2 linked regions of the Macaca mulatta genome follow. The protein of the gene in region 1 purifies or fractionates together with the protein of each later gene. This does not show direct contact. Links are inferred from orthologs where the notes say so. Each region holds a gene or a part of one and is shown on either strand. Other genes may lie near its edges.

Region 1 (8,047 bases):
ACCAGAATAGAAAAACTTTCTTAGAAAGGCTCCCTACCCGTGGCTGGGCGTAGTAGCTCAGGCCTGTAATCTGAGCACTTTCAGAGGCTGAGATGTGGGTGCGTCACTTGAGGCCAGGAGTTCGAGACCAGTCTGGCCAATGGTGAAACTCCATCTCTACTAAAAATACAAAAATTAGCCAGGTGTGGTGGTGCATGCCTGTAATTCCAGGTACTCGAGAGGGTGAGGCAGGCGAAGTGCTTGAACCTGGAAAGCAGAGGTTGCAGTGAGCCAAGATCATGCCACTGCATTCCATCCTGGGTGACAGAGCGAGAATCTGTCTCCAATAAAAGCTCCCTACCCAAGGCCATTAAGACAGATCTCTGTGGGCTGGGCGCGGTGGCTAATGCCCGTAATCCCAGCACTTTGGGAGGCCGAGGCAGATGGATCACAAGGTCAGGAGATCGAGACCATCCTGGCTAACACAGTGAAACCCCGTCTCTACTAAAAATGAAAAAAAAAAAAAAAAAAAAAAAAATTAGCCACGTGTGGTGGCACATGCCTGTAGTCCCAGCTACTCAGGAGGCTGAGGCAGGAGAATAACTTGAACCCAGGAAGCGGAGGTTGCAGTGAGCTGAGATCGCGCCACTGCACTCCAACCTGGGTGACAGAGCAAGACTCCATCTCAAAACAAAACAAAACAAACAACACACACAAAAAAAAACCACTCTGGAAAATGAACTAGCCATCAAAGCAGCAAATGGGTACTGGGCCCAAGAGGGTGTGCTTACATGTGGCGATCAATCTTCTTAGACTCACGGTATCTTCTAAGCAGCCGGCGCAGAATCCTCATTCTCCTCATCCACGTGACCTTCTCTGGCATTCGGGCATTGGCTGTACCCTTCCGCTTACCTGTGGAGAAGATGAGTTAGGAATGGGCTATTACCCAGGTCCACTGTGTATAGTACACCAAGTTTCAAGTCAGGGTCTTAACTCATCTAATCCTCACAACCTCATTTTAAGTAGCATTACTTCAATCTTCCAGATGATGATTCCCAACTACGTAAGTTCTTTCGTTTACTCAATTTTAAAGGAAGCACAAATACGGCAATAATTCCCCATTTACTTCATACAGAATGTGGGTTTAACAGGCAGTGCACCAAGGTAGCACAGCACGTTTTAAGGAGCTTCCTTCAATCATTCTGACACTAGAAAGCAATTTTAGAGTTAAGATGGACCACATTCTCAAGGACCCAGCAGAATCCTTGGCATAGTGTAGGTAAGGACTTAGTAAATGTGACCTCCTACCAGGGATGCTCTCAATTCCAATACCAGCACCAACTTTCTGATTTGCACACAGGCAGAATACACATCAAATACCAAGGAGTAAGAAACGGGCTCGAGATGAGACAGAGTGCTTAGATCCTGAATATATTTCAGCACAGACGACAGCACCTATCATTTCTTAAGGAGAAGACGACCACACTTACCTATGCCCATGTGCCTGCCCTTCCGGCGGGCCAAGGTATTTTTCCGGCATCGTGCCCGGGAATGGACCGTCACAGGCTTGCGGATGATCAGCCCATCTTTGATCAGCTTTCGGATCTGCTGACCTGGGAAAGCATAATGCACCTGGTCAGTCAACTGGGGCCCAAGCACATCCCAGAATCCAAATAGGCCAGGCCACAGACACTGCTCACATTCTCGGCCCCATGCTCTCAAAAAGGATGGAAACACTGGAACTTGTTTATTTCTTGCCTTCGAAAATCCAAAAAACCTCTATCTTTTCTTTTTCCTTCACAAACAGAAGTTGTGAGAGATACTCTTTGTCTGAGACAGTCTCCCTATGTTGCCCAGGTCGGTGTTGAACTCCTGGGCTCACAATCCTCCTGCCTTAGCTTCCCAAGTAGCTGGGATTACAGATGCCTGCCACTATGGCTGGCCATTTCTACTTTTTTTTTTTTTAATTTTTTTATTTTTTTTTTTGAGACGGAGTCTCGCTCTGTCACCCAGGCTGGAGTGCAGTGGCGCGATCTCGGCTCACTGCAAGCTCCACCTCCTGGGTTTACGCCATTCTCCTGCCTCAGCCTCCTGAGTAGCTGGGACTACAGGCACCCACCACCGCGCCCGGCTAATTTTTTGTATTTTTAGTAGAGACGGGGTTTCACCGTGGTCTCGATCTCCTGACCTTGTGATCCGCCCGCCTCGGCCTCCCAAAGTGCTGGGATTACAGGCGTGAGCCACCGCGCCCGGCCATTTCTACCTTTTACATGTATTACAGCACACTCAAAACAGCAAGCCTGATACAATGACTCCTCCATTTTGTAGATACTCTGAACGTACCTTCCTAGGTTTGTAAAGAGTCAACACAAGCTAGGTATGCTGGCTTATGTTTGTAATCCCAGTACTCTGGGAGGCTGAGGTAGGCGGATCACCTGAGATCAGGAGTTTGAGATCAGCCTGACCAATATGGTGAAACCCCATCTCTACTAAAGATACAAAAATTAGCCGGGTGTGGTGGCACGTGCCTTAGTCCCAGCTACTTGGGAGACTGAGGCAGGAGAATCGCTTGAGCCTGGGAGGCAGAGGTTGCAGTGAGCTGAGATCCTACCACTGCACTCCAGTCCGGGTGACAAAGGGAGACTCCATCTCATAAAAAATAAAATAAAAAATAAAGAGTAAATTAGCCGGGCGTGGTAGTGCACACCTCTAATCCCAGCTACTCAGGAAGCTGAGGCGGGAGAATCACTTGAGCCTGGGAGGACGGGTTGCAACGATGAGATGGCACTACACTCCAGCCTGGGCAACAGAACAAGACTGTCTCAAAAAAAAAAAAAAAAAAAAAAAAAGTCAACACAACTGTGTTCTTATGACGCAGGACAAGAGAAGGAAGTAGGGTGAAGAGACAGATCCCAGGTACTCACGGGAGTTGGCATTGGCGATTTCATTGGTCTCATTGGGGTCTAACCAGACCTTCTTCTTGCCACAGCGGAGGACACTAGAGGCGAGCCTCTTCTGAAGCCTGAGCATACTAGACACACAGAAAACATGATTAGACTCTGAAAGCCACTCGTGGGCAAGAACGAAAGTCCCCATCAAGACCTGCCCTCTGCGACCCACACGACAGCCGCGAAATAAGACTCTTCCCTAAATCATCTTTAAGGCTCTGGGCTGTGCAGCTGGTCCCCTTGGGTTTAGACTTCAAAGCCCACGCTATGCCTTCACCTCTTGGAGCCTCATGTTCGCATTTCTTCTCTGAAAAGTCAAGTTAAGGATTTACTGGAATGAATAGGGGGCTTATGCCATTTCTGGTATTCAGCGTTTGAAAAATATTCGAGGCGAGTAGACCTGATTTCTAGTCTAGCAATGCAGGCAAGTTAATGTTTTCTGGGCTCATTTTCCCGTTTTATCACAGTAACAAGCCTCGTTCGGCCATTTGTAGAGATTTCCTTTATGAATGGCCAAAGGAGTGGAAGGCGTCAAGAGTTAGAGATCACGTCTCTCGGCAGTCGGAGGCCTGGGGCCTACACTAGGCTTGCCCTAGATCACGTGAAAGCACAGATCTGCTCCGCTCCGGGCGTGCCATGCAAGAAAGGGTCCAAGGCTCGGTCCCGTTCGCTACGTTTGCTTTGCTCGCGTGGGTCGACCCGACACATGTGCGGCGCGCCGCCACCCGAGGCAGCCTTTTCCGGGTCTCAGTTGCTGCGACGCTCCCCGCCCCCCCCCCCCACCCCGGAGGCCCGGGACGAGAGTGCTCCGGCCTACCCCAAACCCCGGGACCGGCCGCTTTAGGGCGGCCTCCATTTCATCTCCCCCAACCCCGGCTGCGGTCCCAAGCCCAACAGTCCCCCGCCGAAAAGCGTCAGCGCCTGTGGGAGATCAGCGCGCCCTCACCTCATGGCTGCGGCCGCAGCAGCGAAAGGAAAGAGCTCGCTCGGGACCGGCTCCTCCCATTACCTGAGAAGGGGAGAGCCCAACCCCCTCTCCAATTTCGTCCGTATTCCCGTCCGGTTCTTTCATCTTCCGCCACACCAAACTCACTCATAGCCTCCGTATAGGCCTGAAATGATAAAAGCCTAATATCAGAAATCGGTTTTAAACTTAAAAACATAGAAAATGTACCCCTTCCGTAGGGAAAGTGGTATAGTCCGACTTCCTACTAGACATGCGCAGCAAGGGTACGCGATCACGTGGTTATTTTAACCGGAAGTCAGCTGGATTGCGCAGGCGGAGTGAGAGAGGTTTTGCTAGAGTAGCTTGGTGTTTGCGGGCGTTCGGCCGGTTATGGGTGGATGCTTTATTAGCTGAGAAAAAAAGTCAGTTGAAGAAGCGAGAGAGAATGACAACAGGTATCAGACAAAGGCGACCTCTTATTCACTCTCTTAGTAGATTGAAAACCCCTAGAGTGCAGAATAGATCACTAAAAGATGTTAGTGTTTTTACGCTGCTGCGGGTCTTTAATTTCTTGGTGCCTCAATTTCCTCCTCTGTAAAGTGGACCTAATCCCAATGTTTCTATCATCAGTTGTGGAAATTACGTGAGGTAACATTTGCAATTAGCAAAGGAAGGCATTAAGACAGCAAGCTCTTGGAGGGCGAGAACTAGTCTCGTAGTCTCCTTTGGCTCACAGCTCTACTGCGGTAGGCATGGATCCGCGATCGAACACACCTGAGAAATACTGCACTGGCTGAATGGATGAATGATTGCAGAAAGTAAAATTAAAAAAAAAAAAAAAAAATTGGGCCGGGCTCGCTGGCTCACGCCTGTAATCCCAGCACTTTGGGAGGCCAAGGCGGGTGGATCACTTGAGATCAGGAGTTCGAGACCAGCCTGGCCAACATGGCGAAACCCTGTCGCCACTAAAAATACAAAAATTAGCCGGGCGTAGCGGCGCGTGCTTGTAATTCCAGCTACTGGGGAGGCTGAGGCAGGAGAATCGCTTGAACCCAGGAGGCGGAGGTTGCAGTGAGCCGAGATTGTGCGACTGCACTCCAGCCTGGGCAACAGAGTGAGACTCCGTCTCAAAAAAAAAAAAAAAGGCAGGACCACTCAGTTCTTTTCTTCTGATCTGGAACACCCAATGCAAAAATCCAAGGAGAGCATTCTGGGGTTTAAGAAGTCTACATCTGAATTGAGGCTCCAACTCATCATTGGTTCCCGCTGATCACCCTATCCGTTTCATCTCAACTTTCCTGGCTGAGAAAGTAGAAGAAAGAGAAAGGGAATCAACATTTATGCTACTTCCTCACAACAACACAATTAGCGTTGCCCTCATTTTACAGCTGAGGTAACAGATTGAGAACGCAGGTATTTCTGATTGCAAAGCCCATGCTTTTGCGGTTATGCCAGGCTTTCTCCTCTCCAAGGGTCAGGTGGAAGCCGTGCTCAGGATTGGAGCTCTCCTGGAATGTTTCTAATGGGCTTTATCTTCACTCACTGCTCCTCCTTCCCGAAGGTGTTGTGATCAGAGGAATGACAGAGCGGCCATTCATTTGTTATCACAGGTGAGGAGGAGGAGTCCCATAGTCTCCTCTCCTGCAGAACACAGCAAGCTGGTGGCCTTATTTTAAGGTCACTTGACCTGGAGAGGGTCTTCTCCACCTCTCCTTTCTGTGGAGCGGGGGTGGAGTAGGGAGGGAATGGCTGACTCCTTCATTGAAACTTACAGCTTCTCCAAACACCCTAGCAATTCATTTAATTCCCTCATCCTCCCAATAATCCCAGGTGACACAGACTCCACAGTGCCAGCAACCACATTTTATAGGAGAGGAGAAAACTGGTGCTTAGAGAGGTGGTTTGTCCAGGGCTATACAACCAGAAACAGCCTGAGCCAAATTGGCACCAGGGTCTATTGCCCAGAATCTCCTATTCCTCCTCTATCCACCTGTCTTGGTGGGTGGAGTCCAGACCTTGGATGTTTGTCCCTAAATCAGGGGTAAAGGTGGAGCAATTCTAGGTCAAAGGTCATGAGATCTGATTTTACCAGCCTCTTCTTTCTCGGCTCCATATTGCTTCCTCTTTTCTCATCCAACAGCAGGGACTTCGCCCAGCCCCATTCATGGCCTTTTGGAAGAGCGGGTCAGGGGTGGGGGCGTGTATCCTAGTGACCGATTAGGGCAGAACTCCTGGACCCCTGGGATTTCTTTTGCTGTCGCTGTTGGACACCGTCCCCATCTCAGCCTCAGCCTCCCACCGGCAGCCCCAGAGCCATGTTGGAGGGGTAGAGGCTTTTCTGTTTGGTTTAAGGCAGCCTGGGCCCCGCACTGGGGAGAAAGGAGTTAAAGCCAGGTCCCAGGATCACCGGGACCGGGAAGTTCTGGTGGCCCAAACAGGAGTGGGTTGGGGGGACCCGCAGGAAGATAGGTTTGAGACAAAAGGGGGCGGTGCTAGCCATGCCAGTCCGCGCTTCATCCCCATCAGCGCTCGGCATCCACTGGTAGACCGACCCCCGACCCCTTCCCCAAGTATCCACGCCTAGTTTCTCCCTTCCCGCCCCAGCGGGCCGCCTGCACCCCACAGCCAGTCAGAGGCCCACCTGCGGCCCTCTAGAGCCGAGAGGCGCTTGCCTCCCAGCTTGCCGCACGCCCATTGTGTGCGCCGAGCCGGAGGAGGGGCTGCGAGGGGCGGGGCCGGGGCGGGCGGAGGGAGGGAGCGAGGGAGGGGCGCGGGGAGATGCTGAGCCTGCTGGGGAGGCGGCGGCGGCAGTGGAGAGAGCGGGAGGAGCGAGGGAAGGCAGGAAGGAGGCAGCCGAAGGCCGAGCTGGGTGGCTGGACCGGGTGCTGGCTGTGCCGCGCTGCTTTCGGCTCCCACGGCCTCTCCCATGCGCTGAGGGCGCCCGGCTGGGCCGGGCCGGCGGCGGGAGGGGAGGCTCCTCTCCATGGTCCAGAAGACCGGCATGTCCCGGGGCCCTTACCCACCCTCCCAGGAGATCCCCATGGAGGTCTTCGACCCCAGCCCGCAGGTGAGGCGTGGTGGCCCGGCCCGAGAGGAGGGGGCCGCTCCCACGGACAGTGTTGAGGTCGGCTCGAAAGGCGCGGGAGAGGAAGGGGTTATATGCCGGGCGCGAAGGGGAGAGGGATGCCTGCGCGTCCCCGATCCTTGCAGGTTGTGATTGATGGGCTCTGGGCCTGGGGCTGGGTGGCGATGCTGCGGAGCGGGGAGGGGGCGGGTGGGCTGCCTGTCACCCTCGCCTCCTTGTCTCCCCCGCGTCAAGGTTTCTGCCGCTTGGGCACCAGCTTCAGTGGGCTGAGCGTAGGGGTGCTGGTGGTGGTGGGATCTGGGCCTTGAGAAGGGGAGGTTGAAGGAGGCTAGAAAGCGAGCCAGGCAAGGGGGGCGACCCAGAGCACGCTCGGGGGCGCCAGGCGGGTGTGGGTGGGGCGGGGGTGGCACGAGGAGGTGGCCGAGGCGATGGTCAGAGGGCGGTGCCAAATGCAAACAGGCCTTCAGAGCCGCAGACACTGGATCTTGAGGGTGGGGAAAGGGCCAACTCCGGGCGAGGTCCCCTCCCAGCCACCTGGGCTCCATCTCCATGTCGGACCTGCTCCCCTCCCCCAACACCCACGTTGACTTACCCCACCCCCACCCCCGCCCTGAAAACGCCTCCAAAGTTTGGAAAGTTGGATGGATGCCAACTCACTGCCCGGGAGGGGGACGAGCTGTTTTACCTGGGGGAGGGGCTACTTCTCCATCCCCACCCGCACACTTTTCTTACGCCCCTGGTAACCCCTAGGAAGTGGCATTCTTGGGCGCGGTGGGTTCCCATGGGGTGACCAGCAGGCTCTGGGATGGTCGCGCCAGGGGATTTCTTTGGGACTGTCCTTCTCCAAGGATAGCATTAACTCTTCTGTTACTGTGGCCACCAGCTGTAACCACCATGATAATGTGATTGATGGGTATGTAGAGGGGTCAAGTCAGACCTAAAAATACCTTCCTCCACCCCAGGCCCCTTTGAGCCTGGGAGGCAGCTGACTGGGGCCTTCCTTTCAGCTGTCCCCTGTCCCTCTGAGTGCCACTCCCTTTGCCCAGCCTGGCAGTGCAGGGGGAGGGTGGTGTCTGGGATTCACTGGGG
Region 2 (7,947 bases), about 23 Mb from region 1:
TCCGTGAGGGACTGACTGTTCTCTTTCCCCCTCTAGCAAATCATTCTTTTCAGAAAATTGAGTTCCAGCCTCCAGAAGCCAAGAAGTTCTTCAGCACAGTGCGGAAGGAGATGGCGCTGCTGGCTACCTCGCTGCCTGAGGGCATCATGGTCAAGACTTTTGAAGACAGAATGGCAAGTAGGCTTGGCATGGGCAGGTGCAGATGTGCTTTGTGGGCCAGTGCCCAAGAGGTCACCAACCTTGGGTCCCCAAACCTCTGGGGCTGACTGGCACCTGCGAAGACATTCACCCACCCACCTTTTACAGGGGCGGTCACAGGCTCAGTCAGGTAAGGGCTGTCTCAGCCGTGTGTCCAGGCCAGATGGTTCTTTTTTTCCTCCCTCCTTTAAAAAATTACTTTGAAATAGACCGGGTGCGGTCGCTCACAACTGTAATCCCAGCACTTTGGGAAGCCGAGGCAGGTGGATCACCTGAGGTCAGAAGTTCGAGACCAGCCTGACCAACCTGGTGAAACCCCGTTCCTACTAAAAATACAAAAATTAGTCAGATGTGGTGGCGGGCGCCTGTAATCCCAGCTACTCGGGAGGCTGAGGCAGGAGAATCACTTGAACCGGGGAGGCAGAGGTTGCAGTGAGCTGACATTGCGCCACTGCACTCCAGCCTGGACAACAGAGTGAGACTCCCATCTCAAAAAAAAAAAAAAAAAATTACTTTGGAATTAATTATATTATGGTTACTCCTCAAGCCTACTTTTCTTTTTGAAAAATTAAAACATTACAGATCCTTTGAGTGGAAATGGAAGAGCTAAAGTTGCCTTTGACCAGCCCTCACTTCTGTTTCTCCCCGAATCATAGGCCTCTTCCCACACCCAGAGGATTTTTAGAAGTTTAGTGGGTCTCCTTCCAAACGGATGACCTTTTTTTATATTTTTACATTTTTTATACACTCTCATATTTTCACATTCTCATATGTCACCATAAGTACATGGTATTTTGTATGATTTGTTTACACACAGAGTATGTCATTGTACACATCATCTCTAATTTGCTTAAGACCAACCCGTGTTGATTCATATGATCTAGTTTCTTCCTTTTTACCTGCAAAATAGGACAACAGCATGTGGCCACACCACATTCCATTTTCCCACTCCTCTGTTCATGGCCGGGGCCTAGTGTCTCTGAGTCATGTTTACTGAGGCAGCGGTGAGTGCCTCCTCCAGGAACAGGCAGGCCCGTTTGCCTGCCACCTTGTTTACTCAACATTCCCTTACTGGGCCTGTGCAGCGAGCCAGGCACCATGCTAGACTCTGAATATGAGCCTGAGGCCCCAGTTCTGGCCCTGTCCTGGAAGGGAGTAAAGAAAAGAAAGAGCAGGGATCCTGAGAGCAGCCAAGCGAGGCACTGTTGAGGTGGGCCCGGAGTAGCCACAACCCTGGAACAGGGCTAGGCAGAGCCCTAAGTCCCAGTGCTGCTGGAGATTCTTAATAACGCTTTTGGTTTATTCTTGGGTTGTAGTAAAATTCCTTTTGAAAATCCTATTCTGTCTCAGCTCTGCTGAGGGAAGACAGGAACAGTATTTTTTATTTTGTTCTGTTTTCCCCACATCTCACTCAGGAGAAGAAAAGTAGTGCATTCTCTGAAGGCTCCCAGGGTGGCACCAGTAAGAGCATGCGCAGAGATTCCCTCACCCCAGCTGGCGCTCTGCCCTCCCTGCTTCTCAGCTCATCACTGACATCGCCCATTTCCCTGGCAGTTGAGATCCCACACACACACACGTATGCACACACATGCACGCAACTAGATGCACAGATTCCAGATGTCTGTGGAGCGGTGGTCTCCCAAAGCCTCCCTTGCAGTTCAGACCCTCACTGTCAGCTTCTGGTTGTGAGACCATCCCCCTTCCCCAGGCCTCACCAGCCTGGAACTGTCTTTCAGCTTGAAACTGCTTGTACTACTTGCCTTGTTGGAGATAAGGGTTGGAGCAGGTGTTTAGAGGAGTTGTTTTGTTTCGTTTTTAAAAGACAGGGTTGGCCGGATGCGGTGGCTCACACCTGTAATCCCAGCACTTTGGGAGGCCGAGGCGGGCGGATCACGAGGTCAGGAGTTCGAGACCAGCCTGACCAACATGGTGAAACCCCATCTCTATTAAAATACAAAAAATTAGCCAGGCGTGGTGGCAGGCGCCTGTAATCCCAGATACCCGGGAGGCTGAGGCAGAGAATCGCTTGAACCTGGGAGGTGGAGGTTGAAGTGAGCCAAGATCTCGCCATTGCACTCCAGCCTGGGTGACAGCTACACTCTATATCTCAAAAAAATATATAAACAAAAAAATAAAAGATAGGGTCTCGCTCTGTTGCCCAGGCTGGAGTGCAGTGGTGTGATCATAGCTCACTGCAGCCTCAACCTTCTGGACTCAAGTGATCCTCCCATCCAAGCTTCTTGAGTAGCTGGGACTACAGGTATGCACCACCATGCCCAGCTAATTTTTTATTTTTTGTAGAGATAGGGTCTCACTATATTGCCTAGGTTAGTCTTGAACTCCTGACCTCAAGCAGTCCTCCCACCTTGGCCTCCCAAAAGTGCTGGGATTACAGGTGTGAGCCACCATATCTGACTGAGGAATACAATCTTTTTTTTTTTTTTTTTTTTTTTTTTTGAGATGGAGTCTCACTGTCACCCAGGCTAGAGTACAATGGCGCGATCTCGGCTCACTGCAACCTCCACCTCCGGGTTGAAGCAATTCTCCCACCTCAGCCTCCCGAGGAGCTGGGACTGCAGGCACGTGCCACCACGCCTGGCTAATTTTTGTATTTTTAGTAGAGACAGGGTTTCACCATGTTGGCCAGACTGCTCTCGAACTCCTGACCTCGAGATCCGCCCGTCTCGGCCTCCCAAAATTCTGGGATTACAGGCACGAGCCACTGCACCCAGCTGGAATACAGTCTTAAAGTAATGATTCATGAGGAAAAACACCTGATAAGATAAAAACTCATTTCGAGTATTTCTCTTAGCCAAGGTTCAAAGACTCCAGGCAAGAGCCGGGCACGTGACTGCTCGGGGCTGTAAACCCCAGCACTTTGGGAGGCCAAGGCAGGTGGATCACTTGAGCCCAGGAGTTTGAGACTAACCTAGGCAACATAGTGAGACCCTGTCTCTACACAAAATAAAAAAGTCAGCTGGGCGTGGTGGCCCACACTGTAGTCCCAGCTACTTGGGAGGCTGCAGTGAGCTATTATCGCACTAGTGTACTCCAGCCTGGGGGATAGAGCAAGACCCTGTCTCAAAAAAAAAAAAAAAAAAAAAAAAAAGATTCCAGGCTGTTCTGCAGAGAGATTTGTGCTTAGCTTCTCCACTGCTGGTGGCGTCTGGAGTCCCAGGTGCTGCTCATCCTGCGTGATCTGCACAGTGTCCTGGGAAAGAGCAGGTGCAGATGCGGATGCCACATGTAGGACACCCCTTTCCACCCCTGCCAACCTTGGCCTCCCTCCCTCCCTACCTAGGACCTCTTCTCAGCCCTCATCAAGGGCCCCACTCGAACCCCCTACGAAGATGGCCTCTACTTGTTTGACATCCAGCTCCCCAACATCTACCCAGCCGTGCCCCCCCACTTCTGCTACCTCTCCCAATGCAGTGGCCGCCTGAACCCCAACCTGTATGACAATGGGAAGGTGTGCGTCAGCCTCCTGGGCACCTGGATTGGAAAGGTGAGTATAGTGCCAGGCCCCCAGCCAAGAAGGAGGAAGAGCCAGTGGGGGATAGGGGCCTGGGGAACAGAATTGATGGTGCCCTGTGTGTTTCAGGGGACAGAGAGGTGGACGAGCAAGTCCAGCCTTCTCCAGGTGCTCATCTCCATCCAAGGTACAGTTGGGCTGAAGCGGGGGTGCGGACAAGGGAGGACCAGTGGAGGGAAGTGACTCTGATGGTCCCCTGGCAGGTGGAGGGTAGGCCTGCATGGTGGGCTTCTCTCGCCCACTGAGGGAAGCTGTCCCTCCCCCACAGGTCTCATCCTGGTAAATGAACCATACTACAACGAAGCTGGCTTCGACAGTGACCGGGGCCTGCAGGAAGGCTATGAGAACAGTCGCTGCTACAATGAGATGGCGCTGATCCGCGTGGTGCAATCCATGACCCAGCTGGTGCGGCGGCCCCCCGAGGTCTTTGAGCAGGAGATCAGGCAACACTTTAGCACTGGTGGCTGGCGGCTGGTGAACCGCATCGAGTCCTGGCTGGAAACCCATGCCCTGCTGGAGAAGGCCCAGGCGCTGCCCAACGGGGTCCCCAAAGCCAGCAGCTCACCAGAGCCCCCAGCTGTAGCCGAGCTCTCAGACTCCGGCCAACAAGAACCTGAGGATGGAGGGCCAGCCCCAGGAGAGGTCTCCCAGGGTTCAGACTCAGAGGGCGGTGCCCAGGGCCTGGCCTCAGCTAGCAGGGACCACACAGACCAGACTTCGGAGACCGCACCAGACGCATCAGTGCCACCCAGTGTCAAACCAAAGAAGCGGAGAAAGAGCTACCGGAGCTTCTTACCTGAGAAGAGTGGCTACCCTGACATCGGCTTCCCCCTCTTCCCACTTTCCAAGGGTTTCATCAAGAGCATCCGGGGTGTCCTGACGCAGTTCCGGGCTGCGCTGCTAGAGGCAGGCATGCCGGAGTGCACAGAGGACAAGTAGCTGCCAGGTGCGGAGGAACGAGCATCACCGTGGGAGAGGCCAGCCGCCGCTTGCTCACTCCCCGCCGGAATCGCCCCTCTTCCCATGCCCCTCTGTCCCCACTGCAAACCCCTCATTGCCCTCTTCTCCCCAAGGTGAGTTTGATGCTGAAGTGCAAGAAGTGTGTTGAGATGCCGCCGTTTCTATTCTGAAGCGAGCTTTCAACAGGTGGGTCCCCCGTGGCAAAGAAAATCGGAACCCTATTGCCGATTTTCCATTTGTCACCCCAGCAGAATGTCCCGGCACTTGCTCCCTTGCTGTCCCTTCTCAGGTCAGAGGTGGGTGTTCCAGGGCCTGCCGCGGGGCTCTCTGGGCCGGTGCCCTGCAGACCCGCAGGAGAGCACATGTGCCTTGCATGAAGTGTGGGTTGCGCCAACAATTCCCCTGGTCCCTTTCAACCTCTTAAGTTCAACTTGAGCCTCCGTGTGTCCTAGACCCTCCTGCTGCCACCGCCACCAGGTCCTCCCTAGTCCCCCAGCGTCAACACTATACCTTGGGAGTTGTAGCTGCTGTCACTGACTCCTGGCTATACATGGCCTGTCGACCACATTATAACCCTCAGGTCTGTTGAACTTGCTCTCTAAGAGAGGTTGGGACCAGGCTAGGTTCAGGGTGACGCCCAGGAGAGGTGGTGGCCTTCACACATGCACATGGAGTGAGGACCAGGGAGCTGTGGGGAAAGCAACAGCTGTAGGTGCCTTGCTCTTCTGTTGGAGGCTGCTGGGGGCAAGAGCAGCTGCACAAGGCCAGGGCAAGTGCTAGGGCCCCTCCCCTATCACATGGTCACACTGGGACGTGGCGTGCAGCTCACTGAACTCCAAGCGAGCCAGCCCTCTCTTGGACTAGAAGGCCTACTGTCAGCCCTTCGCTTACAAACTGCAGGCTCAATCCAGAAGGGGACGGCCGGCGGGGGCTCTCCTAGTGCCCAGAGACAGGCCCAGAGGTTTACAAGTTTTCTAAGCTTTTGATAATGTGAAGCTCCAGGCCAAGAGGATGCTGTTGAGCACATTGCAGCTATGTAATTTTTGGTGTATGTATGTAATATTTAAGGTTGGAAAAAAACTCAAAAGCAAAGATATTAACTCTTATTAGAAAAAAAGACAAAAAAAAGCCAAAGCATGATGCGTCTTGTCAGCCTTAAGTGGGCTCCACACCTGTGCTGTGCTGTGACCGCCCAGCCAGCAGAGCTGCCGGAGGACGGAGCTGGAACACACACCATGGCATTTGGAGCCGAGTCAGTATCTTGTTTGAGAAACACCCGGAGTGACTGGTGGGGCTGTGCTTCCCAGTGCATTGTACATGTGGAGATGTGAATGCCTACTGCTTACAATATCTGTATAAAGTGCTGTGTGATTAAACTTTTTTTTACTTGCTTTTTTTTTTTTTTTTTTTTTTTGGGTTGGCTCATTAACAAGACAAGGTGACACCATTAAACCTCCCTCTGCCATTCATCTGGGCTCCGTTGCCTTTCTTCCTCTCTGGGGCACTGTGTGCTTGTGTCCCTCACACACACCCTTCCTGGGGAAGGAAAGACCTTGTTGCCAGGGAAGGCATGTGGCAGTGGGTCCTGGCTTTCCTGGCCAGGTGGGGGCCACTGTGAGCAGCACCCCCCACCTGCCCACGCTGCCCTCCGCCTGCCAGATCTGCTTGCATGCCTTTTGTACTTCCTGTCCTGGAGCAGTCCTCTGGCCTCTTCCTGGCTGGTGGTGTGCTCCTTAAGAGCCAGCTTAGAGCAGCCTTCCAGTGGCTGTAGTCTCCAGAGACCTACAACTGACCAGTTCAGCTCCTTCCAGATTCTGGGAGAGCTGACGTCATAGCACCTGGTGGTGGACAGGTGCCACATCTCCTGGACCCTAAGCCAAAATGGTTACCCAGTTTATGAGACTTGCATGCATTCTTCCCTGCCGCAGTCTTTCCACTCCTGCCTGGCACTCCTCCACGAGGACAGGTGGGGAAGGGAGGTGGCTGAGGGAGGCTGGGGGAACCCTAGACCCCTCATTGGTGGGGATGACAGACTCCTTTTAAAAAGGTAAGATACTGACCGGGTGCGGTGGCTCACAACTGTAATCCCAGCACTTTGGGAGACAGAGGCAGGCAGATCATTTGAGGTCAGGGGTTTGAGACCAGCCTGACCAACATGGTAAAACCCCATCTCTACTAAAAATACAAAAATTAGCCAGGCATGGTGGCGCACACCTGTAATTCAAGCTACTCAGGAGGCTGAGGCACAAGAATCACTTGAACCCAGGAGGGTTTTTTTTTTTTTGCAGTGAGCAAAAAAAAAAAAAGGCAAGATACTGCCATTTTTTACTTCTGAAGTCTCCTGCACCTTGCCAATTTTGGGGAGTGGCGGGGGTAGTGTTTTTATTTTGTTTTTGAGACATTCTCACTCTGACACCCAGGCTGGATTGCAGTGGCGTGTTCTCAGCTCACTGCCGCCTTAACCTTCTGGGCTCAAGTGATTCTCCTGCCTCAGCCTCCCAAGTAGCTGGACTACAGGTGCCCATCACCACACCCTGCTAATGTTTGTATTTTTTGTAGAGACGGGATTTCACCATGTTGCCAAGGCTGGTCTCAAACTCCTGGGCTCAAGTGATTCACACGCCTCGGCCTCCCAAAGTGCTGGGATTACAGGCGTGAGCCACCGTGCCTGGCCCATCGGTTTTCTAATGCCCTTAACTCAGATATTTTCCCTTTCCTGCTAAATCTACATGGGGCTCTGATGAGATTTTCTGGGACTAGCTGGTTGTGTGGCCCTAGCTGAGACATGCCAGGTCCGAGCTGCAGCCTGTGTGTGGTCAGGCAGCTGGCTGAACTCTGAGGCTGCTTCAGGCTGGAGGTACTGTAATTATCACGGTAGTAGAGGCATCCCCCACCGTTAGGCTGAACCAGCTCTGGGCCTGAGTCCCCCACCAGAGTGACTATGCCTGAGGCCAATAAAATCCATTGTCCATCCCAGGGGGCAGTATTGGCCATCATTAACATTAAATTCTATAGTCCTGGCCAGAGCAAGAACCCATTCTCTCCCCAGTCACCAGGACAGGACCAGCAGGCTGAGAATGTCACTTTATTTGGATTTGGTTCATGGGGTGGGGGTCCTAGAACAAATTGGAAGGCCTTAGGCAGCTGGGCCCAGCCAGCTGGGCTCCTGACCCCAGGACCTCATTCTGGCCTGTCCCCCCAAAGCATAGCTTCCACCTTCTCACCCTTCTCCAGAGGAGTCTCCTCCACCCCACAGG

The links.
Region 2: the proteins of RPL19 (region 1) and UBE2O purify together in Homo sapiens (affinity purification with mass spectrometry; 3 studies listed by BioGRID and IntAct, with this or other methods). This does not show direct contact. The link is inferred for Macaca mulatta from reciprocal best matches to the Homo sapiens genes RPL19 and UBE2O.

Annotation. Positions count from the first base shown.
Region 1 is NC_133421.1:63,527,118-63,535,164, reverse strand, and holds the start of RPL19 (large ribosomal subunit protein eL19), read right to left. Parts: upstream 3,910-8,047; 5' UTR 3,879-3,909; coding exon 3,874-3,878; exon of another isoform or gene 3,745-3,873; intron 3,011-3,744; coding exon 2,904-3,010; intron 1,593-2,903; coding exon 1,470-1,592; intron 892-1,469; coding exon 771-891; intron 1-770. Other genes in the region: CACNB1 (voltage-dependent L-type calcium channel subunit beta-1), read left to right, coding at 6,857-6,940.
Region 2 is NC_133421.1:86,137,405-86,145,351, reverse strand, and holds the end of UBE2O ((E3-independent) E2 ubiquitin-conjugating enzyme), read left to right. Parts: intron 1-36; coding exon 37-173; intron 174-3,499; coding exon 3,500-3,703; intron 3,704-3,799; coding exon 3,800-3,857; intron 3,858-3,998; coding exon 3,999-4,669; 3' UTR 4,670-6,159; downstream 6,160-7,947. UniProt on the Homo sapiens protein: E2/E3 hybrid ubiquitin-protein ligase that displays both E2 and E3 ligase activities and mediates monoubiquitination of target proteins. Negatively regulates TRAF6-mediated NF-kappa-B activation independently of its E2 activity.